Linked DNA regions of Alligator mississippiensis. The protein of the gene in region 2 interacts with the protein of the main gene of each other region in a biochemical or structural test. Links are inferred from orthologs where the notes say so. Each region holds a gene or a part of one and is shown on either strand. Other genes may lie near its edges.

Region 1 (15,953 bases), on a different chromosome or scaffold from region 2:
TCAATCATGAAACACATATTCTTCAATATGCGGATTACCAGAAAAAGCAGCCTAGGATCTGGGTGCGTGCAAAGACCCCCCGAGTCTACACACATGCCAGTTATTCTGCTCTCCCAAAGTGCGTGCATAGAAAATCCACTCAAAACCACTTGCCCCTCAATACAGGGGAAAAAACATCTCACTCGACAGGCCATGCTCTCCAAAGGGGAGGAGGCCTAGTTATTTCACAAGGACGAGGTTGTTTTTTTTGTGTTTTTCTGCATGCTCGCAGTAAATATATTAGAGGAGAATTTGGTTAGTAGCTTAGTAGATTTTTGTTGCAGACGGATTATGCATGTCTGACCTAGATATGAACAATGCCAACGTGCTGAGAATAGCTGATGTCTTAAAGGAATATCCTTGCAACCAGTGGGATACAGCTCTGCACATGAAAAGCTAACAAACCCCTTACAGCATGGGCCACCCGAAGACGAGGGGGCAGTATCAAAATCTTGTCGGTGGGCGGTGATGTGCCAAGGTTGTGCTCACGGTGAGCTGCAGAGAAACCAGAAGACATTCGTTCCTCCAGCCCACAGGCACACAGAAGAAGCAGGGGCAGTGTTTTCCAGCCTTGGATAACTAGTTTTTTCCTTTTACAGTAGAGCTGGCAAGTGTCTGCACCCTCCGGCAACACCAAAATGCTTGTTGCATTCATCAGGCCTATGACTAAATGAAGGATAAAGGCATAATAATGCCCAGAGACAAGGGAAAAGAGGTGTTTGCAGTTGAAGGATAAAATGCTGCCCACAGATGACCTAAGGCAGGACCCTCCGTGTGACTGGAGCATTAAACACCAAACCGATCACTGCAGGTTGTCCGTCTGTCAGCAAGCCACCGCTATTCCTCCATTGGGGCAAGAGCAGTATAAGCAAATATCAGTCTCCATAAGAACCGCACGGGATTAAAAGCACTTAGATGTCACTCTGCCTTTTTGCATTCGGGTGCAGGAAGCCCACTCACCGATGCAGCAGGGTCTCAGGGTGCCTGCGCCTGACCCCGCTACAGTGCCAGCAGCAGCTGGTCCAGCTGAGCGCGGAGAAGACACAAAGGAAGACTGGATTTATACAAATGGCTAACTTCATTAAGCTTGAGCCTATACATATATGTTTGAAACCAAAAATAAGTGTAGTAAAGGAGAGATGAAATGAGCAGGAGACATGGGGTGAGAATTAAAAGTTGCTGTACAGACTAGGCGGCTACGTGTAGTTTTTGGGTCGTTCATCCAAATACAAGCCACACAAATCAAATTCTCAAGGTGCTAACCTAGGCACAAGGGATCCTTTGGGTTCATCCTTCCTGCCTTTGCTTCAGTATCTTCCTTCCCCTAAAATGGAGCAGGATTCACCCCATCAGGTGAGAAGTTTGATGTAAGCCCACACCGCAGAAAGTCTCCTGTTCTGGAGCAGGTGCTCCTGAAACAACTGCAGATCCACGCTAACAAGCGTGTCAACGGAGTGCAATGGAGAGGGGTTTCGGCCGGGACCGAGAAGGGTTTTGTGTCTGGTTCTGTCCCTGATTTTCCATGAAGCTGGTTAGTTGTGTGTCATACTCTCCTCCCCCTCTGCCAAGGCTGTAAACTGCTCAGGTTGGGATCGATAGTGTCCAAGTGGCGTTGTAGCCAGGATGCTCTAGGAAATACGTGCAAAGCAAGGACTTTCATAGAGGATACCTTTTATTGGACCAAGTGCAGGGCTGGGATAGACTCAGACAAGCGTTTGAGTACCGCAGCGCCCTTCCCTAGGTCTTGGGGCTGCTGTTTGCTTGTCCCCGAAAGAGGGGATTGGGAGATTGTCTCTCGCTGCATTTGTACAAGGAGCCTCTAAGCTCATACAAGCAACAGTATTTGGTTTAGACCTGATCCTGCAAGTTAGCTTCAGCTAATCTCTACAGCTGTTGGCCTATCACACAGAAATAGAGTTAAACCTTTCCAGGGACAGAGGAAGAGGTTTAACGTGGCTCTAAGCCTCCTGAGCACAAACATTTGCTAGCCCATTTTTCCCCATGCTGAAATAGTTTGGACAATGCTGAATGGCAGGAATGTCAGAAGAGACCGGACGTCTCTTCTGTAGAGTAATACGAGCACTGCCATGGCACAGGCATGCTGCCGCGATGTGTAAATTCCTATTTTCATGCAGTTATCAAGATACAAAGACCTGTATCAGTCTTGTTCTTCTCTTCTAATGAGACAGCTCAGGCACGTTGACGGCAGTAATCATCCATATCTTGAGAAGTCAGACCTGGGATGCTTATTCACCTCCAAAACCAATCTGCTCCAATGCTGGGCCCTTTTCCTCTTTGTGAGCCAGCTACTAGAGGGCAATATCATTAATATACAGCCTTACACAACTATGCAACATATACAGGATGTTGCACGGCTCCTTATCATAGCAAGGTATGTGAAGTCCGCAGTGTGGTCATTTAAACAGGCAGTTCCTTTCTGAAAAAAAGGATGCAGACTCATGGAGTTGAGGAAGCAAAAGTGTGGTCAAAGCCTTGCTGTAGTTCTCACTTTGGGACCTCCATACAAGCTGAAAGAGTTTGCTTCCTCTGGATGATTCACTTTCTCCAGTTTTAAGGGTTTTGTTTTGTAGCTATATTTTGTGTGTGTGTGTGGAAATGTTCAGTAAGGCCATATGTTTAAACTTTTTCTTTGGATGGTTTCCCACTGGCTCACTGACTGGCTCCTAATATAGACAAACGACTCTTTCTCTCTCTCAGTGGTTGTGCACGGGATAGAAATCTCCATGTCTGAAACCAGTTTGCATTCTTCAGGCTTTTACAGGGAGAAGAAAGGGTCAAAAACCCAGCTCATTACAGAGGGGGAAACTATCTTTCCACTATGAAAGTTAACAGAAAGGCAGTTTTCTTTTGCAGTCCATAGCAGCCAGTTCTCGCCCACTTTGATCATCATTTCTCTGAATGTTATCAGTTTGAATGTCCTGGATCACAGAGATACTGGGTGCCATCCAAGTGGGAAACCCTAAAGTTATTCTCCAGAATCAACAAGTGCAAGTAGACAGGCCCTAGCCCTTCTCCTACCCCCAGTAGTAAGCAGGGTAGATCTGCACCCTCTAGACTAACTACAATATGTATGTGTATGCGTGTGTGTGTTTATAGCACAAGCTTTCATGAGCTGAAGCTCACTTCAGATGCTGTGAAAGGACGTGCACACAAGTTGCATACCTAGGTAGGGAATGCCCGAGGAGTTTGCTGTTTGTCAGGCACTAGCGCATCTCCTGCCTCCCCTCGTGCAATATTCATACAACAGAGATGCTTGCCCTAAGAGCACAGTACCTTCACTACCCACACTTCCAACTTTGGAGAAAATAAAAGCTACCAGAACAGGAAAATGTTCTGATAAAACTCTGGACACGAGCACTTTGAAAATACATATGGGTGCACCTGAGCAAAACACTAACGTGCCCTAGGATTTTGTGTATCCATCAGTGCAGCCAGAAGGCACCGAGACACCAGCTCATTTGCTAGTATGTCTGTTAATTAATCTTCCTGAAATCCAGTCCCCCTACCACTTGCACAGGTACCATAATAAAAACAGCGTTCTGTCACCAGGACAAGTAGGGATGTCGTTCGGTACAACGGGTATAAAGTATCCCGGCACTTTCCAGCCAGAATTGTGCCTTTGTGTGTGTTCCTACAGCACGTAACAGGCTGGGCCCTGACTCCATCGTAGCTCCCTGATGCAAACGCAATACAAGAATGAATGAATGAATATGCTGGAGCAAGTACCTGCCGAACCGAGACTATTTGAGGGTACGCGATAGCACGGCGGCACGGTCACAGGAAGCAAAGTGATCTAGCAGCGTGCCAATACCTAAATAAAGGCCTGCTGAGCGTGCTTTGCCAGTCAGTGCTGCTGTCAGGCATCCAGATAGCATATGTGATGTAAATACTGTATGCCTGCCAGCATCCATGACCTTTCGGGAAGCAGAGATGAAGCAGGAGGATGCCCCGAGAAATCCAGCCCCTACTTGACATGGAGCCGGCTCAGAGGCTTGCTCATGGACTCGTTTTGCTTTTATTTCTTCTTTTCCTAAGAAAAATCCCTTTGCCCGTAGCCTTTGCAGAACTGCTGAGCTCAGCATTCAACCAAGCGGCCACCCTGTGTGGACGGCAGGGCGGGTGCAAGGGTAATACACTCCATTTTGTTTCTCCTCTTTTATCTCACTCTCCACATGTTCAGCCTTTGCTGTAATACGGGCAGTTTTCCGGCTAGAGGATTATTTTAGGCAGACAGGCACCTCTCGCTTGAACGAACCCCGCAGGCTGTGCAAAGCCTGCCACCCTGCTCCGTGTTTGGAGAAAGAGGGAGGGAAAGACATTAACCAGGCTCTTTTTTTATGGTGACAGCCCTCCACGTTGCAACAAGACACTGCCGGGAGACAAAGCCCTGAAGGAAGCAGAACGGGAGTCCGAAAACAGAGCGCTTGCTCGGGGCCTGCTGGTCAGGGGCGAGGGGGCGGGCAGGCTGCAGGCTGGTTTGAAATAGTAAGGCTGATCGGTTTATTGACGGGAATTCGGCTGCTGCACTTCCTCCAATCCCCGTAGCTTGTCCTGAGCACTGTATTTAAGGGCTATTATCTTCTTCAGGTTATTATTTGGTGGGGGCAGGGGAGAGCCTGCCCTTCCACAAGAAAAATGTTTCTAATGGAAATCCAAGACCTAGACAGCATCCCGGGGACTGTTTGCCAGGTCCTCCGTTTGACAAAGTTTCGGGTCCTCTGTTTGACAACTGCCACAGCAGATCAAGCATTTGTTTGCACTCAGGAGCCTCTGGATCTATATCCCCTTTATGGCAAGACTGATAACCATATGGAGCCTTTCTTCCCTACACTTTTTTCACTTCCCAAAAAAGCTTATTTTCATGGTTTTATCTGGACTATTAGTGGATCTACTTAATGAGCCACTAACAGAGAGACTGAGAAGACTGAGACACTACTGTTGAGAGGAAAAGAGTAAGGGAAGATATGAGAGAAGTAGACAAAATGATGACTATACCGAACAGGTTACGAGCGTGTCCCGTTCTCACTGAACAAGAGAAAGGGGACAGCCGCTTTACATTTAAAAGCGGCACATAAACAACGAGGGGATAATTTCTTGTATAAAATGGATTCAACCCGTCAAACTCGTTGCCACAAAGCATTTTTGAGTCATGAGTTTCAAGGGATCCCTAAAGGATTGGAAATGCATATTCTAATCCATTGTTTTGCGTTTTTGTTCAAATAATTAGGAAGGGGAGAAAAACCTCATGCTCCGGGGCATAAGCCAACATGTAAGTAATGGGGGTTGGCTGAATATAAAACTTCCCCTTTACACAAGTTATTGCAAAACTTTTTCAAAGCTTCTTGCCCCTTCCCTGAACATAACTGAATATTGGCCGCTATCTGAGACAGGTTACAAAACTAGATCATTTCCGAGGAGCTCCTAAATGCTGGAAGAAGAAGCATAAACCGAGAGAATCTCTCTGCGCTGTCCAGTAATTACACCAGCTCCTTTTAATTAACCAGAGCTGCAATTCCCTTCAGCATATAATTTAAAAATTTCAGTGGCTTAAATGTAACCAACTCACTCCTGCGCCATTTCAGAAACCTCATTTCTGCAGACAGAAGGGCTCCAAAATAAAACCAGGCCTACGCTGGTGAGTTTGCCTGCCCAGCTCTTCCAGATGACAGCTATTGATTAGCAGCACTCATGTTGCAGGTTGGAAGATAAATTGGAAAGATCACACTTGGAAAATGAGCTAAAAAAGCCTACTGTAAACAGCGAGTACGCTGACAGCTATTTTAAGGAATAGCTTCCTTCCCACCACAACTCCACAGATCAGATCACATCCTGCACTGCGCGTGCACGCACACTCACAAACGCACACACACGCAATCATCATCCTACGTCAACGCACAAAGCGATGCTTGCTTGAGGCGGGTCTTTCAAATATTAAATATTAATTGCTGCCTTCTGTACGGCGTAAAGTTTTACGGTTTTGTTAGCTTTTCTCCTTTTATAGCAGCAAGGCTGAACTCGCTCACACTGGCAGACGCAGTGACAGCTTGCGAGCTGCCAATATTGACTTATAAACGTACAGAACATCTCTAGGAAAACAGGGCTTTGTATTCAAAGGTGTTAGACAACCTGCTTTTCAGACAGAGGTAGCAGCGCCGGCTCTAGTTAACGTGGTAAGGACCATGGAGCGAGCTTGTGACACACCTAGTGCATCTCCCTGCTAGTAGCTAGTACGATACGCACAGCTCTGGGAGTGGGAGTAACACACCTATTCCTCTAGCTCAGCGGGCACAGCTCTGTGCTTTGGTGATGCCAGGACTAGGTTCAAATGCTGCTTGTGCTACCGGATTGCAATCGGTACGGTAAGATAATGGTGAAATAAACCCAAGTCTTCTTGCCTTGCCACTTAGATAGTGTCAAGGCGGGATCGCTGGCTCCATTATATTCTTAGTAAGTTGATCACCAACCAGCTGCAGAAGATTTCGGGCTTCATGGTGATACGTGCATTTTACAAGTCAGCTTTATGGGGAAGCTTTGCAAAGAGGTGGATACCAACCTAATTCCCACTAAAACTGCCTGGGAGCTGGGCACCTAACAGCCAGCTGTGTATGGCAATATCTTCTGCTATCGCTTTCACGAACTTATTGACATTTCACTTTCAAACTAGCGGATGAAGCAGCGTGACTGAGGAGGCAGGACTACACTCCACGCCCATCTGGGCCTACCGAAGTTTCCAGTTATGACACCTTATCTTCATACTGAGTTCCAGCGAGCCCTGTGGCACGATTCCCACTGACTCAGAGAGAGCAGGATCCGATCCGGCTGATAAAGATTAACTCTTGAAACCAAGCTTTGCTCAGTTTTGAGTGCCAAGGACTCAACGGGCTGCATTCTTACCACGAGGCGTGGAGACCATAGGGTGGAGTCCGGGCTAGACCTTGAGATTTATACTCAGTGCATACTCTGCCAGGCTGCACAAGTGCAGCTGAAATGCTAGACGCCGTCGGGCGGAGATGTTAAACTGGGATCCCTTCTGCTTCCCTCCGACAGCTGCGCAGGGAAAAGTTAGACAATCGCATGGTACTTTATAGAAGGGACCAAGGAATACATTTTCTCCAGGATAATATTAAGGAAACTGGTTGTGATATCTGAGGTTGTGAGGACTATTCCAGGGCTGCTTCGTTGGCCTAGACAGTCATTGCAGAAAGAGTATTTAACTTGTTATTTTGTTAAGATAGTTTGGGAAACCTGGAGGATGAGAGATGCTAGAAGAGCCCCCCGTTCTAGTCCAGGGTAGGAGCACCCTGCGCCGAGCCATGCCATCTGTCCACAAAGGGACATTTATTGCCAATAAACTTGCATCATGCATAAAGCTGGCCAGGGAAGACCCCAAGAACGGCCGTTGTCAGTCAGAGGACTAGCAGATTTGGGAAGAAGGATACCAGGATCCTTGTTAGCAAAGTTGGATTTTTACATCCAAAAGCAAGTTAACATTCAAAGCAGTTTATTCAAAGAGGATCTACTTACTAATGAGGCCTCCTTGAAACAAGTCATCCCCATAATTTTTTTAACACTCTTCCTAGGAAACATTTTAAATAGGTTTAAGTGTCTGCAATTTTTGAATTTCTGTTCAAATAGTGCTTTCAAAATATATTCATCCAGGCAAAAAGATAAACAAACAAAGCCCCCCTATTCCCAGCAGTAATGTGAAAAGACTTGTGCTATTTTTACCAGTCTGGCACATGTCCTAAATCAGAGGACAAGCCTCTGCCAGCTGCACAGCACTGCCCAACCACCCATACAATCTGCACAGGCTTCTTATTGATCGGGTTTCCAAGAAGAGCAACGGGATGTTACGGAGCAGAAGCTCCTTCAGGACTTCTCTGTCTGCTCACATCGGGGTGCTTTTGGCTTCGTGCAATCAAACCCCCTCTCTGCAGGGCAGCGAAACACTGTCAGTGATTTAAAACGACAGCTTCAAAAAAATAAATAAAATCGCACTCCCTGAAATACAGAAGCTAGCATGCACAGACATCACAAAATACGTGGCAGTGCGCTGCTGCACGCCACGCTGCCAAATCGGAGAGCAGAATGCCGCATGGAGCCTCAACACACAGTTCGTGTTCACAAGGAGATATTTGACTTACCCAAACTTTTTTTTTTCCCCCCTCTCTCTCTCTTTCTTCCCTGCTGAATTATAACACGACAAGAGACACGGAGCTTGGACAGGACCAGGCTGTCTAGGCTGCCAGCTTGCAACGACACATCCTATATCGCCCCACGTCACTTCTCCTCCTTCCCACAAGTTAATCAGTGCTTCCTCCCATCCCTGTGAATCGCTCCGTCTCACTTCCTTATGCCACGACAGGCACCGCTGGAGGGATGGGAATCGCCTAGTGGCACCTCCAAGTCAATCCTGGGATGCCAGGTCATCTCGAGGATGCATTATCCTGCATGGGCAGGCACACCTGGAGGTCTGGGCTCCACCCTGCCTTGCACACATGGGCATGGGGCTCCTGCTCCTGGCATGCACACAAGCCGGAGGTGCCCGGGGGCAGTGCTAACCACCCCCCCCCACTATCACCTGCTGGGACCTGCTTTCCAGCCCCCTCCCCGGGCATCTGCGAGCCCCTGCAAGCTGCTGCTGCCCCCGGGGAAGGAGGCTGGGGCAGCCCGGAGCCCGCACCTACCTGCGCGGCTGCGGAGAGGCAGGAGGCGGCGGCGGCTGCGGAGAGGCAGCGCTGGGGCGGGCCCGGAGCCGAGCTGGAGGGAGGGATGGAGGCAGGGCGGCCGCGCCGGCACCTCCCCGCTCCGGGGTGGGCAATGCTCGGCTCGGGGACTCACCCAGCACCGGAGCCGGGCACAGCCCAGGGGCAGGGGCATGCACTGGAGCCGGGCACAGCCCAGGGGCAGGGGCATGCACTGGAGCCGGGCACAGCCCAGGGGCAGGGGCACGCACCAGAGCCGGGCACAGCCCAGGGGCAGGGGCACGCACTGGAGCCGGGCACAGCCCAGGGGCAGGGGCATGTACAGGAGCCGGGCACAGCCCAGGGGCAGGGGCATGCACGGGAGCCGGGCACAGCCCAGGGGCAGGGGCACGCACCAGAGCCGGGCACAGCCCAGGGGCAGGGGCACGCACTGGAGCCGGGCACAGCCCAGGGGCAGGGGCATGTACAGGAGCCGGGCACAGCCCAGGGGCAGGGGCATGCACGGGAGCCGGGCACAGCCCAGGGGCAGGGGCACGCACCAGAGCCGGGCACAGCCCAGGGGCAGGGGCACGCACTGGAGCCGGGCACAGCCCAGGGGCAGGGGCATGTACAGGAGCCGGGCACAGCCCAGGGGCAGGGGCATGTACAGGAGCCGGGCACAGCCCAGGGGCAGGGGCATGCACCGGAGCCGGGCACAGCCCAGGGGCAGGGGCATGCACCGGAGCCGGGCACAGCCCAGGGGCAGGGGCATGCACGGGAGCCGGGCACAGCCCAGGGGCAGGGGCATGCACCGGAGCCGGGCACAGCCCAGGGGCAGGGGCACGCACCAGAGCCGGGCACAGCCCAGGGGCAGGGGCATGCACCGGAGCCGGGCACAGCCCAGGGGCAGGGGCACGCACCAGAGCCGGGCACAGCCCAGGGGCAGGGGCACGCACGGGAGCCGGGCACAGCCCAGGGGCAGGGGCATGTACAGGAGCCGGGCACAGCCCAGGGGCAGGGGCATGCACCGGAGCCGGGCACAGCCCAGGGGCAGGGGCATGCACCGGAGCCGGGCACAGCCCAGGGGCAGGGGCATGCACGGGAGCCGGGCACAGCCCAGGGGCAGGGGCATGCACCGGAGCCGGGCACAGCCCAGGGGCAGGGGCACGCACCAGAGCCGGGCACAGCCCAGGGGCAGGGGCACGCACGGGAGCCGGGCACAGCCCAGGGGCAGGGGCATGCACCAGAGCCGGGCACAGCCCAGGGGCAGGGGCACACATCGGAGCCGGGCACAGCCCAGGGGCAGGGGCATGCACGGGAGCCGGGCACAGCCCAGGGGCAGGGGCATGCACCGGAGCCGGGCACAGCTCAGGGGCAGGGGCATGCACGGGAGCCGGGCACAGCCCAGGGGCAGGGGCATGCACGGGAGCCGGGCACAGCCCAGGGGCAGGGGCACGCACCAGAGCCGGGCACAGCCCAGGGGCAGGGGCATGCACTGGAGCCGGGCACAGCCCAGGGGCAGGGGCATGCACGGGAGCCGGGCACAGCCCAGGGGCAGGGGCATGCACTGGAGCCGGGTAGAGCTCAGGGGCAGGGGCATGCGCCGGAGCCGGGCACAGCCCAGGGGCAGGGGCATGCACCGGAGCCGGGCACAGCCCAGGGGCAGGGGCATGCACCGGAGCCGGGCACAGCCCAGGGGCAGGGGCACGCACGGGAGCCGGGCACAGCCCAGGGGCAGGGGCATGTACAGGAGCCGGGCACAGCCCAGGGGCAGGGGCATGCACCGGAGCCGGGCACAGCCCAGGGGCAGGGGCATGCACCGGAGCCGGGCACAGCCCAGGGGCAGGGGCATGCACGGGAGCCGGGCACAGCCCAGGGGCAGGGGCATGCACCGGAGCCGGGCACAGCCCAGGGGCAGGGGCACGCACCAGAGCCGGGCACAGCCCAGGGGCAGGGGCACGCACGGGAGCCGGGCACAGCCCAGGGGCAGGGGCATGCACCAGAGCCGGGCACAGCCCAGGGGCAGGGGCACACATCGGAGCCGGGCACAGCCCAGGGGCAGGGGCATGCACGGGAGCCGGGCACAGCCCAGGGGCAGGGGCATGCACCGGAGCCGGGCACAGCTCAGGGGCAGGGGCATGCACGGGAGCCGGGCACAGCCCAGGGGCAGGGGCATGCACGGGAGCCGGGCACAGCCCAGGGGCAGGGGCACGCACCAGAGCCGGGCACAGCCCAGGGGCAGGGGCATGCACTGGAGCCGGGCACAGCCCAGGGGCAGGGGCATGCACGGGAGCCGGGCACAGCCCAGGGGCAGGGGCATGCACTGGAGCCGGGTAGAGCTCAGGGGCAGGGGCATGCGCCGGAGCCGGGCACAGCCCAGGGGCAGGGGCATGCACCGGAGCCGGGCACAGCCCAGGGGCAGGGGCATGCACCGGAGCCGGGCACAGCCCAGGGGCAGGGGCATGCACGGGAGCCGGGCACAGCCCAGGGGCAGGGGCATGCACCGGAGCCGGGCACAGCCCAGGGGCAGGGGCATGCACGGGAGCCGGGCACAGCCCAGGGGCAGGGGCATGCACCGGAGCCGGGCACAGCCCAGGGGCAGGGGCATGCACCGGAGCCGGGCACAGCCCAGGGGCAGGGGCATGCACCGGAGCCGGGCACAGCCCAGGGGCAGGGGCACGCACCGGAGCCGGGCACAGCCCAGGGGCAGGGGCATGCACTGGAGCCGGGCACAGCCCAGGGGCAGGGGCATGTACAGGAGCCGGGCACAGCCCAGGGGCAGGGGCACGCACGGGAGCCGGGCACAGCCCAGGGGCAGGGGCATGCACTGGAGCCGGGCACAGCCCAGGGGCAGGGGCATGCACAGGAGCCGGGCACAGCCCAGGGGCAGGGGCATGCACTGGAGCCGGGCACAGCTCAGGGGCAGGGGCATGCACGGGAGCCGGGCACAGCCCAGGGGCAGGGGCATGCACGGGAGCCGGGCACAGCCCAGGGGCAGGGGCATGCACGGGAGCCGGGCACAGCCCAGGGGCAGGGGCATGCACGGGAGCCGGGCACAGCCCAGGGGCAGGGGCATGCACGGGAGCCGGGCACAGCCCAGGGGCAGGGGCACGCACCAGAGCCGGGCACAGCCCAGGGGCAGGGGCATGCACTGGAGCCGGGCACAGCCCAGGGGCAGGGGCATGCACGGGAGCCGGGCACAGCCCAGGGGCAGGGGCATGCACTGGAGCCGGGTAGAGCTCAGGGGCAGGGGCATGCACCGGAGCCGGGCACAGCCCAGGGGCAGGGGCATGCACCGGAGCCGGGCACAGCCCAGGGGCAGGGGCATGCACGGGAGCCGGGCACAGCCCAGGGGCAGGGGCATGCACCGGAGCCGGGCACAGCCCAGGGGCAGGGGCATGCACGGGAGCCGGGCACAGCCCAGGGGCAGGGGCATGCACCGGAGCCGGGCACAGCCCAGGGGCAGGGGCATGCACCGGAGCCGGGCACAGCCCAGGGGCAGGGGCATGCACCGGAGCCGGGCACAGCCCAGGGGCAGGGGCACGCACCGGAGCCGGGCACAGCCCAGGGGCAGGGGCATGCACTGGAGCCGGGCACAGCCCAGGGGCAGGGGCATGTACAGGAGCCGGGCACAGCCCAGGGGCAGGGGCACGCACGGGAGCCGGGCACAGCCCAGGGGCAGGGGCATGCACTGGAGCCGGGCACAGCCCAGGGGCAGGGGCATGCACGGGAGCCGGGCACAGCCCAGGGGCAGGGGCATGCACTGGAGCCGGGCACAGCTCAGGGGCAGGGGCATGCACGGGAGCCGGGCACAGCCCAGGGGCAGGGGCATGCACGGGAGCCGGGCACAGCCCAGGGGCAGGGGCATGCACGGGAGCCGGGCACAGCCCAGGGGCAGGGGCACGCACCGGAGCCGGGCACAGCCCAGGGGCAGGGGCATGCACTGGAGCCGGGCACAGCCCAGGGGCAGGGGCATGCACGGGAGCCGGGCACAGCCCAGGGGCAGGGGCATGCACGGGAGCCGGGCACAGCCCAGGGGCAGGGGCATGCACGGGAGCCGGGCACAGCCCAGGGGCAGGGGCATGCACTGGAGCCGGGTAGAGCTCAGGGGCAGGGGCATGCACCGGAGCCGGGCACAGCCCAGGGGCAGGGGCATGTACAGGAGCCGGGCACAGCCCAGGGGCAGGGGCACGCACGGGAGCCGGGCACAGCCCAGGGGCAGGGGCACGCACGGGAGCCGGGCACAGCCCAGGGGCAGGGGCATGCACTGGAGCCGGGCACAGCCCAGGGGCAGGGGCATGCACGGGAGCCGGGCACAGCCCAGGGGCAGGGGCATGCACTGGAGCCGGGCACAGCTCAGGGGCAGGGGCATGCACGGGAGCCGGGCACAGCCCAGGGGCAGGGGCATGCACGGGAGCCGGGCACAGCCCAGGGGCAGGGGCATGCACGGGAGCCGGGCACAGCCCAGGGGCAGGGGCATGCACCGGAGCTGGGCACAGCCCAGGGGCAGGGGCATGCACCAGAGCCGGGCACAGCCCAGGGGCAGGGGCACGCACGGGAGCCGGGCACAGCCCAGGGGCAGGGGCAGGGGCATGCACCGGAGCCGGGCACAGCCCAGGGGCAGGGGCATGCACGGGAGCCGGGCACAGCCCAGGGGCAGGGGCATGCACCGGAGCTGGGCACAGCCCAGGGGCAGGGGCATGCACCAGAGCCGGGCACAGCCCAGGGGCAGGGGCACGCACGGGAGCCGGGCACAGCCCAGGGGCAGGGGCACGCACCAGAGCCGGGCACAGCCCAGGGGCAGGGGCACGCACCGGAGCCGGGCACAGCCCAGGGGCAGGGGCATGCACGGGAGCCGGGCACAGCCCAGGGGCAGGGGCATGCACGGGAGCCGGGTAGAGCTCAGGGGCAGGGGCATGCACGGGAGCCGGGCACAGCCCAGGGGCAGGGGCATGCACCGGAGCCGGGTAGAGCTCAGGGGCAGGGGCATGCACCGGAGCCGGGCACAGCCCAGGGGCAGGGGCACGCACCGGAGCCGGGCACAGCCCAGGGGCAGGGGCATGCACCGGAGCCGGGCACAGCCCAGGGGCAGGGGCATGCACGGGAGCCGGGCACAGCCCAGGGGCAGGGGCATGCACCGGAGCCAGGCACAGCCCAGGGGCAGGGGCAGGCACCGGAGCCGGGCACAGCCCAGGGGCAGGGGCACGCACCGGAGCCGGGCACAGCCCAGGGGCAGGGGCACGCACCGGAGCCGGGCACAGCCCAGGGGCAGGGGCACGCACGGGAGCCGGGCACAGCCCAGGGGCAGGGGCACGCACGGGAGCCGGGCACAGCCCAGGGGCAGGGGCATGCACGGGAGCCGGGCACAGCCCAGGGGCAGGGGCATGCACGGGAGCCGGGCACAGCCCAGGGGCAGGGGCACGCACGGGAGCCGGGCACAGCCCAGGGGCAGGGGCACGCACCGGAGCCGGGCACAGCCCAGGGGCAGGGGCACGCACCGGAGCCGGGCACAGCCCAGTGGCAGGGGCACGCACCGGAGCCGGGCACAGCCCAGGGGCAGGGGCACGCACGGGAGCCGGGCACAGCCCAGGGGCAGGGGCATGCACGGGAGCCGGGCACAGCCCAGGGGCAGGGGCATGCACGGGAGCCGGGCACAGCCCAGGGGCAGGGGCATGCACGGGAGCCGGGCACAGCCCAGGGGCAGGGGCATGCACGGGAGCCGGGCACAGCCCAGGGGCAGGGGCACGCACCGGAGCCGGGCACAGCCCAGGGGCAGGGGCACGCACCGGAGCTGGGCACAGCCCAGGGGCAGGGGCATGCACGGGAGCCGGGCACAGCCCAGGGGCAGGGGCATGCACGGGAGCCGGGCACAGCCCAGGGGCAGGGGCATGCACCGGAGCCGGGCACAGCCCAGGGGCAGGGGCATGAACCGGAGCCGGGCACAGCCCAGGGGCAGGGGCATGCACCGGAGCCGGGTAGAGCCCAGGGGCAGGGGCATGCACCGGAGCCGGGTAGAGCCCAGGGGCAGGGGCATGCACCAGAGCCGGGCACAGCCCAGGGGCAGGGGCATGCACCAGAGCCGGGCAGGGGGCATGCACAGCTCTCAGCACTGCAGCGCCTCTGATGCCCCCATGGACGCCCCAGGGCTTGGTGAAGCTGCCTGAACTCTCAGCTTCTCCCAGCAACCCCGCCCACCTTGAATGCCATGCTAGACTTTGCCCAACGATTGGAGTTGGTTTAATACAAGAGATCAGACAGACCCTAAAATCCTTGTCTGCCTTGCACAACTTTGAAACCGAACGGGTGCTTAATGCGCCCCTTGTTACTGGGATGCATTTGGGAGCCCTGTTGGTCTGAGACAGAAAGAAAGGCAAACATCTAGAAGTGTTGGGTTGGCACATTAGACTCCCTGAAAAACTGCCAAAAAAAAAAGACATTTCTGCAAGCTTTATATCATTTTTGTTGTTGCAGTTTCTCAGTGGGTCTAATGAAAGTTATCCCCTGAACCAAGAGTTCTTGATTTTTGCATTACCTTTGTTAGGGCGCATTTAGTTCAGTACAGGCAGTCCTCAGACTTACGACACAACTGGTTGCTGAAAACCATGTCTTAAGTTGAAACGTAACTCGGAACCGATTTTCCCATAAGAAACCAAGTTATGCATGGGGGATTGGTTCCTGAACCGATACCCTATTTTCACCAAAAATAACCTAGAATTTTGTACTCGATCAATTATAGATGAGTAATATAGCTACATTAATGTATTTATATTGTAAATAGCAATCATATTGATTTGGAAAGACTTCTTTGCTGGACTTTTTGGAGGGCTCTCGGCTGGAGTCTTCCAGCAGTCTTGGCTGCAGGTTTTTGTGGAGTCTTGTCTTTCTTCAAAGCAGTGCCCAAGGAAGTTTGGACAGATGTTCTCCAGGGAGATGGGTGACACAGCTAACTTGTTCGCTGGCGTGGCGTCACGTTGTAAAGTCAAACATGACATCAGAAAGTTGAAACAGGATGTCAATTTATAAACGTTGCAAGTGCAAAATGTAAGTCGAGGACTGCCTGTACTTCCTTAGTGAAGTAGGAAATGAAGGCACAGAAACTAGAGTTACTGCACATGCACGATTATTTTGTGATGCTGCGGCGCATGAGCCTAACGACACTGCGCAGTAGGCTTTTAGCGCAGGCTTTAACCGCCATGCTACTGCGCAGTG
Region 2 (16,265 bases):
TTTTACTATATACATTTTTGGCTAGTTACGTAGGCCAGAGAGGTTACAGTAACAGCTGCTATATCACTCTAATGTATTCTATGGTCTTTTACATGGAGGTAGCCTTTGTGACCATGAGAACTGAAGTGACAGATTGAGGTCACTTATGTGCTGAATGCTCTACTTCCCCTTGATGTGGGCATTAAAACACTAATACATCCACCTGGTTTTCAGTGCCATACCTGCAATTCACCTTTAACATCCTAGGAATTTTTGAGCATCTTAATAAAACAACTCAGCTGCACTTGTCTGAAGAACAAAAGACAGACCTAGGAGCAGTCATCTTTTTGTTGCTGGGCTGTGTCAGAAACATTTTTTTCTGTTTCAGAATGCTGATACCAACACAAGGCAGCAGCAATGCTCTTGGGAGAAGGCTGGTTCTAGCTAATTTATAGCAGTATAGCTAAGAATTACCTCATCTTACTTAGCTAATGCGATGATGTCATACTCTGTCAAACAGAGGATACATCTCTCCAGGGAGGGTGATCTCATACTATGAAGGATGAAAAAAGTACTTTGGGAAAACATGTTCAGAATTAATTTAAATTACTGTTTTTCTTCTATAGATTTTTATTCTTTGTTTTGCTTCTATAGATTTGTATCCCTAATGCTTAAAGTATCAGCTTAGGTAAGAGAAGCTTTTAACAGTGATAGAATTTAAAATAAAATAAAAAGCCCCCAAAGAAATAGCTGAAGTCACCACTGGCATAACATGCATCTTTTTTTCCGTAGCTAGTAGAATATTTACTTTACATTACAGGGTAGCTTCTACTCAATTCTTATATTTAATAATAATAAAAAAGATCACAGACATAAGAGACAGATGCTGCAAAAGGGGTAAGTGTGTTCTGTAAACTAATGTATAGGGGTGTGTGCCAAAGAAGGAATCTTTGAAGCAGGTCCAAAAATTAGAACTGCTGGCAGGTTACAAAACAAAATTATTTTCATAACCTACATGCATAGTACATTATGAATATAATTTTTTTTAATTAGCATAGCTCTTCCAGGTTATTCCTTTTGTTGTAACAATGATCGGTTACTATGCTTCTTTACAAAAGTCAAATGAGTGAGCCATTACAAATCCAATCTCTAACTCCAGTTTAACAATGCTTCATTTCAGGACACAAGTATATATCTGAATTATGAAATATATACAATATGACAAATTGCTATAAATTGAAATAATATTCAATTTCTATGATAAAAAGAGTAAATAACTGAATGGTATCCAATTACTCTACACACCCTAAAACATTCAAACACCCTGAAACATTCAAATGGCTATGGACAAGACAACACGTGTTTAATATATGCCAACTGTTGTGAAGTAGTGATCATCACAGCGATACTAAAATAAGCATCCCAAAACAGAAGCTATGAGTTAAGAATTTTACAAGATCATCTGTGATTTATTTTCTCTCTGCAGTTTTTCACCTTATACAATTACACTGGAAAACTGCAAATATTCTTCTAAGGCAAGACTGTCAGACACATGGCCCAAGGGCAGAATCTGGCCTGCAGAGGCACTCATTCCAGGCTGCTGGGCTAGGGGAGGACCAGAGATTTTGGAGGCATGATCATGAGGAGCCCTGCTGTGTGGATTTAATAGGGGGGAGGTGAGTTTGACACCCCTGAACTAAGAGAACAAGCAGAACATGTGCATGCATGGAATACTGGAATGACCAGTACTGCTGTTTAAAATGACCAGCCTAGAGGGAACAAAGAAACAACAGACTTGAATAATAAACATTTAAACGACATTTCTCTACAGAATTTTGCTAATATTAAATACTGCACACTTTCTTACTCATGCTACTGAAAACTGGATCTGTGGAGTTACTGTCTACATAACCATAGTACACAAAACACTAAACACATATGGAACATATTTTATGCTGTGCTATGAAACAAAGACAACAGTAGTTATTGCAATGAACTCTCTGTATACGGAGCATAAAACTATTTAAAAAAAAGAGAGAGACAAAAAAAGTATGTTTCTTTAACACTTAAGGAAAGAATCCTGGCCCAAATGGGTGGGCAAGAGATGAATGGTAAGTGCTTTCTAACAGCCACATCCAGAAAATTATGGAGTGTTGTGAAAAGCATTAGTGGAACTATCATCCTTCCACTGACAAAGGCTTCATGGGAATCATATCAGCAGTCCTCAAGTGTCAATAGGGAAAATGAGTTCCTCGCATCTTTTGGAGAGAATTGTGGTTTCTAGTCTCTTAACCCTCTAAAGCATGGGTTAGTAACCTATGGGCCATGGAATCTGATTAGCAGAGCTGGGGCTTTGGTGGGAGGAGGTGGGGGGGGCAGGGCTGCATCAGCTGGAAAGCTCAGTAGTGGGGAGTTTTCTTGTGCTGTGTTGCAGCCAGGCAGGAGAGAGAAGTGCCAGCAGGAGCAAGCAGCAGTGACAGACAAGTCCTAGTGCCAGCCTGCCTTGGACACAAGCTGGGCCATTCCATTCCACTGCTGGAAAACACCGTCAACCACTGCTCTAAACAGTATTTCTTAAAGCATCTCTTTTTATTAACCCCAGGGATGGCTTCATGGTTTGTTTGCATCCATAGATCGCAGATGGCAAATGCTTAAGTTAGGCTCTGTCAAGTAAACTGATGCAACATGGGGGAAAAAAAACAAACAATACATACTGCATGACACAGTAGCTGAAGTGTGGAGGTACTACACTGTAATTTGGTTTCCTAATTATGCCTGTGGCCACTAAGGAAATTTATTTCAGTAAGGCTAATACTTGATGATTTATTCTGAATAGAAAATATGCTAACACAAAACAAAACAAAAAATGTAAATCCATAAATCTACTATCAATATAAGCCATATTGGAAAGGAGGATTGTATCCTGGAAAGCAATGACTTAGAAAAGGATTATGCGGTTATTCTAGATACCTAATGAATATATTTGTCCAGTGAAATGTTTTGGCTGAAAAGATTAATTGGTAAGGCAGAAGGCAGGGTAGATTTGCTCCTTGCACACCAACTAAATCAGAGATGCATAGTATAAGCTTTTGCAAAGCTTTCATAAAGCTTATGCCAGGGGTTCTCAATTCCTGGGCTGTGGCCCCATGGTGGGCCGCGAAGGGTTATCTGCTGGTCTGCAGGACTGGAAGTGGCCATGGAATGGAAGTGGCCAGCATACTGCGGAGCAGCAGTCAACCCTTTTTTATTCTGAATATAGAAAAAGGGTTGGCTACCTGCCCACAGTATGCTGGCCACTGCTGGTCTGCAGTTTGCCGGTCCACAGTCACTTCCAGTCCACGGCTTGCCAGTCCGCGGTCACTTCCTGCTGGTCCTCAGCATAAAAAGATTGGGAACCCCTGGCTTATGTTATGCACTTCTGATTTAGTTAGCATATACAGTGCAGGTCTACCCTGCCTTCTGATTTAAGACTCCACTGTTGATATTACATCCAAACTTTTAAAAGGGATGTTGAAAGATTGTAAGGACTTCAGAGAAAGTATAAGAAAGATCTGAGAACTAGAAAATATACTTTACAATGAGAGATTTACACAGCTCAAACTATTTGCTTAAAAACTGAGAAATAAGAAGTGACCTGGCCATGTAAATGGGGAAAAAAATCCTACACTTCAAAGGGCTCTTTAACCTAGCAGACAGCTGCATGACAATACTTAGTAGCTGGAAGCTAAAATGAGAAACATTCAAACTGAAATGAGGTGTAGCTATTATGTAGGAGGATAATTAACCACTGTAACCTAGGGATATGGTAGATTCACCATCATTTGAAATCTTTCAGTGAAGACTGGATAGCTTTCTAAAAGCTTTACAACTCAAAGCATAAATTTGGGAGTAAATTAAATGGCTTAGGTTATTCAAGAAGTTAAACCACATAACAGTAACGGTGGCTTTGGGCCATAACATCTATGAATTAACAATAAGCAGAGACTGCACTGTGGCTGTAAACTCTCTAAAAGGCTTTTCTTTGCTCACCAGCCTAACTTCTTGTATTATGCAGGTCCAATTTCAATTAGTCATTCTTCATTTATTACCTCAGCAGTCCCCAGCCTTCAGTGGTAACAATACTGAAGAAATAATTTTCTGTGGTAAACATCACACTTTGTTCTCCCTGTTAACCTAAAGGAAGATGTATCTGGGGAAAGCAAGATTTCCTGTTGCAGGAGCTATGCTGGAGTATCCTTTGGGAAACATATTGCCTGCAAGCAAAGGGTTGGAAACCAATGCAGTAGCCCATCTGATTCAAGTCCTTAGCTCTCTAAATAAAAACAATATAATCATGCATAATGAAGGATATTAAAAAAAGCACATCATGAATGTGAAACTGTGTGTCTATATAAACAGGTTCAGAGAAGCCAATGGACCATAAGTCCGCTTACTGAAAGCAACTGTTACTGAAATACTATAAACTTCACCAGTTGTCCATAACTTACTGTAATATAGACTTTACCATTTGTGCTCAATTTCCCAGATGCTATTCAGAACACTTAGACCAATGTAGAAACAAAGGGAAGTTAGTTTCTTAAATCATTTTTTTAATTCTCTTCTTGAACATTATTTAACATCTTCAGAAGTATTTTAATGAAGGTAAAATTTGGAAATTAAACAGTATTTTGAACAGGAAAGTCAAAACAACAGGTGTCAACCATTTTAGAATTTATTTTTGATTTGCTGCAATCTGCATAACTTTGCAAAATATTTCAGTCAATCTCAAACTACATTTTTCAGCAACAACTTCAGCCAAATATGTCAGCTAACTATTCAGGATTATTAGGCTGTAGCAAAACTGTCAAGAACTGCACTGATTTCATAGTGACACCTGAAAAATTCTGGAAACAACAGGAATATCAGGCCTTGAATTTGCTCCTGGAGGAGATGACCCAGAAATGTTGGCTGGATAAAACAGCACAGACCCATTATATACAGCTCTTATACTGCTTTCATCATTGTAGCAACTAAGCACTTTAGTTCAGATGGCTTTTCGAGTAAGAAACAGAATTTCAAGTGTATCTAATACCCAATGGGAGACAGATATGCAACAAAGAAACCACAAGGCATAGGTCAAGGGTTGCAACCTGACATAAATGCCAGCACACTCCTCTTTCCTAACAGGTTCAGGTTGACAATACCTTGGACAGGGACCTTGATGGAAACCATGGGGGCTGCAGAAACTTACTATTTCCATGTCAGAGTCAAGGATGTATGTGGGTGGTATCTTTTATTGGACCAATTGCTTGGTTGTCATCTTCCTCTCATGTCTCTACACCACCTTTGACCATTTTGTTACACATGCTCATGCTCATTTATTGTACTTTATGAGGTCTTTCATTGTACACGTGCCTGCAAACAGCAGACATTACAGCAGGAGTTGCATAATCTGAAGCTCTCTGTCGCAGTCAGAGATGGTTGAACCGATGGTATAGCCCCTTCTTCATTAGTATCTTGCAGCACCTAACTCTGGTACGTAGGCGGTTGAGACTCTGCCACCTTTGCCATGTTTCATCAGCCCCTGGTGATAAGGACTCGGCTGCTGGAATGCCCTTATTCCGCTGTCAGGTACTTTCTTCAGCCTTTCGTTCCACATGTGTAGTAGTCTTGTCTCCTTGAGCGTGGCATTGAGAGGATGGGTGCTGGTGAGGAAGCTCCTGCGTGATTTCAGATGTTTGGGTATTGCGGGATGGTCATACAGTGGGCATCTCACATCTTCAGTTTGTCTCGATGATTCTATCCTGCAGGCCACTATTCTTCTGATGTCAGGCAGAGCATTGCCAGCTAGCCCTGTTTATCCTGGTAGGCTTCAGACATCCTGTGATAGCAGCTATCGTTCAGAATAGGGTCAAGGTGCTTAGTACAGGGCATGCATACTCAGCAGAGAAGCTGGAAGCCAGAGCAGTGCTTCCAGTGGTTGAGGGGCTCACTCCCCATTTCAAGCTGGTGAAGTTATGCAGAATGTTATTCTGAGTACTCACCTTTGCTTTCATCTTCATGTATGAGAGGGTTTGATCGAGGGTGACTCCAAGGTAAACTGGATTTGGACAGTGGGATAGTGGGGTCCCGGACATCCAATGCTGAGCCGGTCGGTGGTTGGCCTCACTGTTTTTCAGACAGAAGGCACATACATGGTTGTGTTTTTGTTGGGTTGATATATAACTGGTTTTCAGTGTAGTATGAAGTTAGGCCAACTAGTGCTTCCGTAAGGGATTTTTCAACATTGTCAAAGTTAGTGTTTGGGCTTGTTATGGGCAGGTTGTCTGAACAGATGAAACCTTGTTTCCAAATTGATTGGCTGGTCAAGTTCCACAACAGTGGTGCAAGTATGCTTCTTTTGGGGGAGGCCATTAATGTCACTTCCATCTACTTCACTTCCCATCCAGTTTGGCAAAAAAGTGTTTTTGAGCTGGGTTCACATCAGTTCTGTAAGGCACAGATCTTTTGTCATTTCCGGGGTCTTGTGGAGGAACTGGTGGTTAACTATATCGTAGATGGCTGTTAGGTTGATAAACACAGCTCTGGTGATTTGGCCTCTTTCAAAACCATCCTCAGTATCTTGAGTCAGAATAAGCAGCTGGCTTGGTGTTGATTTTCCAGGGCGAAGGCTGCCCTGTTTGGGGATCAGGCATTTATTTACGTATGGGACAAGCCAGTTCAGCATCAGCTAGCCGTATAATCTGTATGTGTGGTATAGCAGAGAGACAAGTTTGAAGCTCTTTGGGACAGCTGGGTCCTTCCCTGGCTTGAAAAGTGCTGCTGCCTGAGCATGTCACCAAATCTTTGGCATTTTTTGGCTGGCTGCACGAGCCGCATGAGCAGAAGAGCTGTTCTGGAACCTGGTGTCCAGACTCCTGCTAGTGCCCCAACCACGATGTAACCGCTCAGTCGGGACAGACCTAGTTGAGCTGCTGAATACAGTGGCCACCAGGGGAAGAGGGGACATGTGGAAGTGAAAGGGCACAGGACTAGTCAAAGCAGCAGTTGCAGGGAGCCGGGCAGGGACACTTCAACAGCAACACCCAGCTCCAACTGCGTTCAAAAGCTTGTTTAAGTCTCTCCCAACCAAATCGGGGTCCAGTACAAGACTCCACCCACATAAATCCTTGCCTCTTGCCTAGTTCCTGCACCAGTGAGGGGTACAACCTCACTCAAACGGTGTTTCTACAGCGGCACTTCAGGAGGCGGGGGAGGAACGGGCACCACTCCCTACTGCCAAGTGCCCGGGCCAGCGGGGACCGCCGCGCTGGGTAGCCGGGTCTCGACCACGCGGAGTAGCGGGGGGCGGAGGACGAGGCTGAGCACTAAAGCCGGGGCTGGGGCGGCGCCGCCAAGTCCGCGCAGGCTCCGCCGCCTGGTGCCCCGCCTCGGGCGCAGGCTTTGTCCGGCGGGGCCGCGCCGCCACCTCCCTCCCCCCGCGGCGATAGGACGGGTCCTCGCACGGGACGCAAGAGCAGCACCACGGGGTGAAATCCCCCCTCCCTTTCCCCGCCCCTCCCGGCGCCGCGCTGTGGTACTGACCTGCCGCCCTGCTGGTCCCGCTGCGATTGCCGCCTGCAGAGAGAAGCCGAAGCCCCGCCCCGCCCCGCCCCGCGCGGCGGGTTCGAAGCGCGAGGGGGGGGCTCCCAGCAGCCTTTGCGGCGGCTCCCCACCCATACAGCGCGGGGAGTGGGGCTGAGGGGGTGCCGCTGTGGGAGGGCCGCGGTGTCCCGCAACCCGTCACCGGGCCGGGGTCGTGCCTGGGGCACCTATTGCAGGGCTGGCACTGCACGTGGCCTCCCTCTGCCCCACGCGGCAGGGAGCAGCAAGCGGAGCGGCAGACAGGGCGGGAGCAGGGGATCAGTCAGGGCGCGGCCTGTGACTCGCCTGCCAAAAAGGTGCCCCCCCCCACCGTGCATTGGGTGCAGGGGAAGCCAGGGGGTGCATGCCCTGGTGTCTCCTGTAGGTTGTTGTGTCCTCCCCAGACATGGGGGCATCATTGGAGCATGGGTCCTTAGGGAGGGGGTAGGAGTTGGGCAGCAGCAGGAGGAGCACCAATGGTTTCCGTGACCTGAGGAAGTCTGGAAAGTACTGACAGGTGGCTGCGTGCTCGCCAGCCTCAGTTTGCATGCCTGGGAGACTTTGCTGGTGGAAATGGGCACTTGTAGCATTTCTAGGGCGTTAAGGTGTCTGTAATATTAGACGGGCCCTTCTGAGGATGTTGTTCTGGACATGAGTGAGGGCATAAAGGGGAGGGTTAAATACTGACATTCTCCTTGTGGACCTGGCCTGTAATTGTCCAGAGGGCAGGGTGTGGAGTTAGTTCAGGGGTGGGCAATTATTTTGGGTGGAGGGACACTTACTGAGTTTTGGCAAGCCATGGAGGGCCGCATGACAGGCAGCCCGGGGCAGATAAATACTAATTTTCTAAATTTTTTAGGGTCACCACAGGCCGGATAGAATGGCCTGGCAGGCCATATTTTGCCCACCCCTGAGTTAGTTTCGCTCTGTTGATGTCCCGGCTGAGTAATCTCGGTGGGATACTGAGTCGGGGAGAGAGAATCCGAAGTGGAAGAGGAGGGGTGTGAAGAAGCAGGGGAAAGAAAGCAATGATGCAAAACAAAAGATGTACGAGGGGAAAGGGGAACAAATCAATTAATGGTAGCAGGAACAGGTCTTGTGTGTCTGTGATAAAACTCCTGTAGAAACTGCCATGCGCGCTTTAAAGAGTTTTGAGAGAGAGGGCATTTTGCTGGGTGAAAATGACAAAAGTCAGGCTGGTTTATAATGATGCTGGTGTTTGTTTTTCAGTGTTCCTGCTTCAGGTTTGCTTTACAGGATTAGAAGCTCAAAGATTGAGTGATAGTGAGCTCAGGTGTGCCAATGCCTCTTCTGAGCCCAGGTAGGTCTGCTGTTTCAAAAGTGTAACAACATTTCCAGTAAATGTGTATACAAGTGAATAAATCAGTGAAATCTTGAGGTTACAAAACAAACAATATGACCAACTATCAAGGTGAGGCTGAAGTACAAAGTTCAGATTTAGTTGTTTTTGCTTTTCTGAGGTACAAGAGTCTAACAGATTTAGGGCTGGGAACTAAGGACTCTGAAATCTAATCCTGACTCAAGGACTGACTGGCTGTATGGCCTAGACCAGGGGTGTCAAACATGTAGCCTGTGGACTAGATCCATCCTGTGGAGCTGGGTCATTCTGCCTGCAGATTTTGCCCCAACTCTGGTTGCAATAGGGGATCTTCTTGCAGTGGCAGCCAAGCGCCTGGGCAAGAGTCACAGTGCAGCAGCTGCAGCATTGTGGGAAGAAGCCTGATACTGTGGCTTGTTCTGGCAACAGGTGCCAAGTAGCCAGCTCTTGCCTGTGTGCTTGGCTGCAGCTGCAGGAAGAAACCATAGTGCTGCTGGGGCTCCAGCACCACACACGCTTCTTGCTTGCTTGGCTGCCAAGCACCCAGGTGAGAGCAGCAGTGCAAGAGCCCTAGTATCACCCTGGGAAGAAGCCTTATGCCACAGTTTGTTTTCAGAGTGACAGCCAAATGCCAGGGTGGTGGGCCTCTTCCTGCTGGGTCCAAGATGGGTGCCACAGGTGCTAGATCTAACGTGGGGTGGTGGATCCTGATCTGGTCTATGGACTAGACCCATACCGGGCATCTTTCAAATGAGTTTGACATCCCTGGCCTAGACTAATCATTTTACACTTTTCATTTCACTTGTGAAACATGACATTTATATACTTTCTGGTATTGGTGAGAGAATGCCTAATTATAATTTGGCTCATTGTTTTTGTAGGTAAGTTATTAGTGTTCTGTAAGCAAAATGTTACAGAATGATCTGAAGCTTTCCTTTAGACTAAGCCCTTTCTGGTGCGCTGACAGTGGAACAAGCCTAACAGTTCCACAACTTGATTCTTCATGCAGTTGATATGAAAACAAGTTCTCTTACTGATCTGGGAATGTATGGGGATTGTAACGTTAAAAGGAATTTTATGGCAAAGCTGTGCGTTGATCTTGAATATTGCTACCGTTATTCATTAAGTGGAGTATATGCTCTATATGCAACAGTTCAACCTTAGAAATGTGGACTTGTTTATTAAAAATGAAAGCCCAAACCGAAAACATTTTTATATTTACATATTAAATATAGAGCTACAGGTTAGTTTCTCACTGCCTGAGGACAGATGAAGAGAAAATGGGAAGAAAAACTGAAGAAGATTGAAGAACTAGAATCTCAATATAAAAGAAACCCACTTTGCTCAGCTTATAGGCCAAAGCTGTCCAAACCATGGCAACCATCCTCTGTTTGGAAAATATTTCCCCGACAAGCTCAAGCTTTTGACTATGTAAAAACCTGCAAAGAGGTGAGGCATCAGATTGTTACAAGAATTACTTTACTATTGAGATACTTTGAAGGTTTGAATTGGCTTTTAAAGTTGTGGTAGTCTACAAAGTAAATTTCAGGTTACAGGATTCTTGTGTTGTGCAATCCTGGTACATCATGTTATTTGAATCCTCAAAGGACAGCATGGGACATCCAGGGATCATAACTGTAATAAGCATGATGTCTAACATTAGACTTTAGATCAGGGGCAGGAAATTATTTCGGGCAGAGGGCTGCTTAGAGGGCCCCATGGGTTGCCCCACCCCCTGGTAGGTGCCCCACCATCTTGGGACTGGAAGTCCCACTCCGTAACCCCTTACCTTTGCCACAAAGGTCCCTCCACTTGCCCCCAGAAATACTCCTTTCAGCAAGGGGTTTTGCCATTTCAGAACCAGAAAAATACCCAATTATATTTTAAAAATCAAACGTCTACAACATTCATTAATTTGATTAAAAAAAATATTTTTGTCCTGATTTACATGTGTTTGTGTAGTGTACATAGAGGTGATTATACAGTAGCTTAAAATGAGCCCCCCGGCTCCTGTGGTTTGGGGATTCAGCCCAGGGCCACGTGGTGCTGGAGCAGGCACAGGGGGAAGCAGTGAAAGCCAGCGCAAGTAGAGACTTCTGGTTTGGTGGGGAAGAGGCTGGGGGGGGTGGGGCTGGGCCAGCCTTGCTCCTGACTTCTGCCGGCTTCCCCTAGGTCCTACTGCCCCTGTCTCCTGTCGTCTTTGACAGGCAGCCAGGAGCAGATAAATATTAATTTTCTAAACTTTTTAGGTGCCCCATGAGCTGGGTTGAATGGCCTGGTGGACCAGATGTGGCCTGCAGGCCGTATTTTGCCCGCTCCTGCGTTAGGTGTGCCATTTAACTTTTGATAGTGGAGGAGCTTGTTAGTGAGAAGACAGGACTGGCAAATGATGTTGATGAAGGAAAAAGCAAGTGATAACAGGAAAAAGGTCAAGAAAGACAAATAATATAGAAGAAGAAAAGTCAGAAAACAAAAGACACAGAGACCAAAACATTCCACAGAGGAGGGCACCTCTTTATTGACACACCAGAGACAGTACCTCTGGAAAAACAAGGTGGGACACAAGTTGAAATAAGAGCCAAATCACCTGAAATAAACCTCTTTCAAAGTTTTTAACTCCATTTATTTATAACAGTTTGTGTTTCAGATTCTGTGACATAATTGTCTTTTTTTTAAAACCAAATGTGCATGAAAACAAAGTCAACCAAAAAGTTAAAACAAAAAACAAACAGCATGGGGAAGTTCCTCATAAATTTCAGTGGACACTTCCATTTGATGATTTAAAATGACTTCCACCAAAAAATATTGTAGGCCTCTGCTAGATGTAAAGGAAACCCAGAATAATTGAAACCAAATGACTCCCTTGATGTCTCCTAGTATAACAAGGACAGGATGAAGGAAAATAAACTGTAGGCTGTTGTTCATTCTGTGGTTAGTTGCTTGTTTTGGTTGTCTTTCCCCTAGCCTCTCCCCTTCAGGTTTCATATATTGTTGCAATGAAAATTATTCGCTAGTCTTGAGTGCAGTGTTCCATTGTAATCCTTCTAAACGCGGGGTTGCTAAAACATATTCTTCTGCCCTATAAAATATGCCATAAAGTTGTCCATCGGAGTTAGTGACTTAAATTGTTTCCCAAATGCGTCCTAAATATACTCATTTAATCATTCAGTTTTCCAGTGTTGAAGCAAATTACCATACCTATGCATTTATGCTAATATAAACTTTAAAGTTGAATCAGTAAAGTTATCAAACACAGTCATTGGAGGAATAGCAACAATTATACATTTGCTTAATTGAAAAAGCTAGGAGTAGTTTAACATATATCATAACACACTCAGTTCATCTTGTTTGTATTAGAACTGTATTTTGATAAATCTCACAGAATAACGGAAAAAATCACTATACTAAAGAACCCATCCTGCAATTGCCTCCATCTTATAGAGTCGATATGCCTCCTCTTGAGCTTTTGCACAGGGTAGGGAGGTCTGCCCTTGCAGGATCAGAGCCTAAATAACCACGCAGGGGAAACAGTGCAAATGGTAATATGCAAAGTGAGCTACTGTATTTACTTACCAACCACATGGCTCCTTTTCCCCCTCCAAAATGGGCGTGTGTCTTAAACAAGGAAGCTAATTTTAATTTGTTAGAAGCAGGGTGGAATAGAGCAAGCAGACACTATGCCTACTGTCAACCCAAGAGGGTTGTTACTTCTTGCACCTGCAAACAGCAGGGTTAGGATCCAGTGTTAACCCTCTCAAAGCTGTTGGTGAGGCAGTAGCTTTTGGCTAAAGAGCTTTTGAGCTGGCTGGCAGTGGGTGAGCTGCTGCATGCAGTCTGTAGTATCTTGAGGCTTATGCAGAAGTAGTACTTATTATTTACAGGAACTTATATAAAGAACTAGTTATAGTAAAAAAGTAACAGTCTTGCTGCTGCCCTTGCAAGAGTCTAGGGCCCAGCCTTGTTGCTGTCCTGGCACGTTAGGAAGTCCCTGTTGCCTTACCCTGACTCTTCCCTGGGATGCTGCACTTACTGGGCTCTCTGTTACTGTGTCACAGTTGGGCATGACTCTGGAAAAATCTTTTCTTTTACATTGTGCCTTCCAAAAACAAAGTGTATATTGTATTTGAGGCTATGTAGCAAATGAGAAAATACAGTATTTGAACCAGAAGTGATGGTAACCAACACTTAAGTCATAGGTCTCACCAAAGAAGTCAACTATCAAGTTAAAAGAAATTGAAACTTGGGATACTTGGGTTCAGTTCCCTGTTTTAGCACAAGACTCCTAGCATGACTTTTGCATGAGGTCACGTGGGCCTAAGTTCCTTTGTGACTCTTAGTCGTCTTTATGCTTCAGTTTTCTGTAAAATAAAGAAACTGCGCTTCCAACCTTAGGATTATTGTGATGGTAAATGCAGTAAAAGGTAGTAAAGCGGTTGGATACCTTGGTATTGGGTTCTTATAAATACCTCATCCAAAATTATGGTTGTGACAAAGCACTTGACCTAATCACTGCCAGTATGTTAGCATTTCTCTCTCTTCAGGTTACCTGTAGTTTTATACATAATATATAATAAAAAGATGACTGGTACATTATTATACTTGACTGAGAGCTATATACTTCCATCTCTTAATGTAGAGTGCTGTTTTCTATAGGTGATTGCCCTTGAACTGGTGGTATTTGCTATAGATCAAAATTACTAAAGAAATACAATACCACTTCAGCCTCATTTTTGATATGTTATCAAAGACTTGCACTGATGTTAACTTTACTGATGAGTGGGCTTCTCCAGACTTATACTGCTACAACTGAAGTCAAAACGCAGTTCTTGCATAGCAGCAAGTTTTACTGTTTTAATTTAAAACAGTCATTTGGTAGGCTTTTAATAAATAGAAACTTAGTGTCTCAGGTGAAGGGTTTCAAATAATGTCAAAGAGACCATTTTGACAACAAAGTATTTTGAAACAAAAGGACAGTTTACTTTTTTCCTTTTTTTAATCTTGAAAAGGAAGTGCATGTATTTGCATTGGAAAAGAACACTGAAGACGGACAAAGGTTTTACCTTGTGACAACATATATTGAGCTTTGGTTCTATTATAAGTAAGTATTTGATAAGCAGCTCTCAGCTGCTCTGTGCTTTGCTGGGGCTGGGGTAAATGCAGTCTGGCCTTTAGAAACATGATTTTGTCACTGGGAGACCGTATCAGGTAGCCTTGTGTGCCAAGCAGAACTTGACTACAAAAGAGAATCTGTTTTTGTAGAGGGGGTAAAAAAACATCATTTTAGAGTGTCAAGAGATGACATAACTTATGCCTTCTTAAATAAATAACTTAAATAGCACTTTGCATAGAAATGTATCACACAATTTGTGGTTTTGTCTTTTGCTATATAAATCTCAAAGGGGATTCAACTTAATTACATGTGGTAAATACAATCTGGTAAATATTAGCAGTAATATCTGATTACTGAGAGAATTTTCAAAGTCCAATATTCCTTTTATTTAAGCTATTATCATCATTGTGTGTGTGTGGGGGGGGGGGGAGGGGTGTCCCCTCAGTTCAGACATCAACATTTAATTGCATCTACTTTTCTTATGTGTGAAAGTCATTTATTTTGCTTTCAGGTTCTCAGTGCTTTCTATTTGCATTGTAAATTATCTCAGGGGTATTTCTGTGTTTCTAAAATTAGCTTTCATAAATCTTTTAATTCATTAACACATTTATGTTGTCAGTACTATAGATTTTGTGTTTGTAACTTATAGGATGCTGCCAACAACAGGAAACAGGGTGAGATCACTAAAGATGAATATACCTCTTCTGCTCGTGCTTGTAGGGAGGCAGTTAGGCGGGCCAAAGCTACCATGGAGCTGAGGATGGCAACCCAAGTAAAAGACAACAAGAAATTGTTTTTTAGATATATAGGGAGTAAAAGGAAGGCCCAGGGAGGAATAGGACCACTGCTAAATGGGCAGAAACAATTGGTGACAGACAGGGGGGACAAGGCTGAACTCCTCAACGAGTTCTTTGCCTCTGTTCCTAGGTGAGGGGCACGACAAGTCTCTCACTGGGGTTGTAGAGAGGCAGCAGCAAGGCGCCAGACTTCCATACGTAGATCCTGAGGTGGTGCAGAGTCATTTGGAAGAACTGGATGCCTCTAAATCGGCAGGCCCGGATGGGCTCCATCCGAGGGTGCTGAAGGCACTGGCCGACATCATTGCAGAGCCACTGGCAGGAATATTCGAACGCTCGTGGCGCACAGGCCAAGTCCCAGAGGACTGGAAAAGGGCTAACGTGGTCCCCATTTTCAAAAAGGGGAGGAAGGAGGACCCGGGCAACTATAGGCCAGTCAGTCTCACCTCCATCCTTGGTAAAGTCTTTGAAAAAATTATCAAGGCTCACATTTGTGAGAGCCCAGCAGGGCAAATTATGCTGAGGGGAAACCAGCATGGGTTTGTGGCGGGCAGATCGTGCCTGACCAATCTAGTCTCTTTCTATGACCAGGTTACGAAACGCCTGGACACAGGAGGAGGGGTGGATGTCATATACTTAGACTTCAGGAAGGCCTTCGATACGGTATCCCACCCCATACTGGTGAACAAGCTAAGAGGCTGTGATGTGGATGACTGCACAGTCTGGTGGGTGGTGAATTGGCTAGAGGGTCGCACCCAAAGAGTCGTGGTGGATGGGTCGGTCTTGACCTGGAAGGGTGTGGGCAGTGGGGTCCCGCAGGGCTCGGTCCTTGGACTGATACTCTTTAATGTCTTCATCAGTGACTTGGATGAGGGAGTCAAATGTACTCTGTCCAAGTTTGCAGATGACACAAAGCTATGGGGAGAAGTGGACATGCCGGAGGGCAGGGAACAGCTCCAGGCAGATCTGGATAGGTTGGACAAGTGGGCAGAAAACAACAGGATGCAGTTCAACAAGGAGAAATGCAAGGTGCTGCACCTAGGGAGGAAAAATGTCCAGCACACCTACAGCCTAGGGAATGACCTGCTTGGTGGCATGGAAGCAGAAAGGGATCTTGGAGTCCTAGTGGACTCCAAGATGAACATGAGCCGGCAGTGTGACGAAGCCATCAGAAAAGCCAATGGCACTTTATCGTGCATCAGCAGATGCATGACGAATAGGTCCAGGGAGGTGATACTTCCCCTCTATCAGGTGCTGGTCAGACCGCAGTTGGAGTACTGCGTGCAATTCTGGGCGCCACACTTCAAGAAGGATGCGGATAACCTGGAGAGGGTCCAGAGAAGGGCAACTCGTATGGTCAAGGGCCTGCAGACCAAGCCCTACAAGGAGAGACTAGAGAAACTGGACCTTTTCAGCCTCCGCAAGAGAAGGTTGAGAG

What was found.
Region 1: of the proteins of CASP3 (region 2) and GSN, one has a biochemical effect on the other in vitro, tested with the Homo sapiens proteins (2 studies listed by BioGRID). The link is inferred for Alligator mississippiensis from reciprocal best matches to the Homo sapiens genes CASP3 and GSN.

Annotation. Positions count from the first base shown.
Region 1 is NC_081835.1:64,353,230-64,369,182, reverse strand, and holds the start of GSN (gelsolin), read right to left. Parts: upstream 8,855-15,953; 5' UTR 8,748-8,854; intron 8,462-8,747; exon of another isoform or gene 8,205-8,461; intron 7,637-8,204; 5' UTR 7,618-7,636; coding exon 7,585-7,617; intron 1-7,584. UniProt on the Homo sapiens protein: Calcium-regulated, actin-modulating protein that binds to the plus (or barbed) ends of actin monomers or filaments, preventing monomer exchange (end-blocking or capping).
Region 2 is NC_081825.1:71,024,634-71,040,898, reverse strand, and holds the start of CASP3 (caspase-3), read right to left. Parts: upstream 7,893-16,265; 5' UTR 7,543-7,892; intron 7,488-7,542; exon of another isoform or gene 7,382-7,487; intron 7,180-7,381; exon of another isoform or gene 6,003-7,179; intron 1-6,002. Other genes in the region: PRIMPOL (DNA-directed primase/polymerase protein), read left to right, coding at 10,190-10,369, 13,927-14,018. UniProt on the Homo sapiens protein: Thiol protease that acts as a major effector caspase involved in the execution phase of apoptosis. Following cleavage and activation by initiator caspases (CASP8, CASP9 and/or CASP10), mediates execution of apoptosis by catalyzing cleavage of many proteins.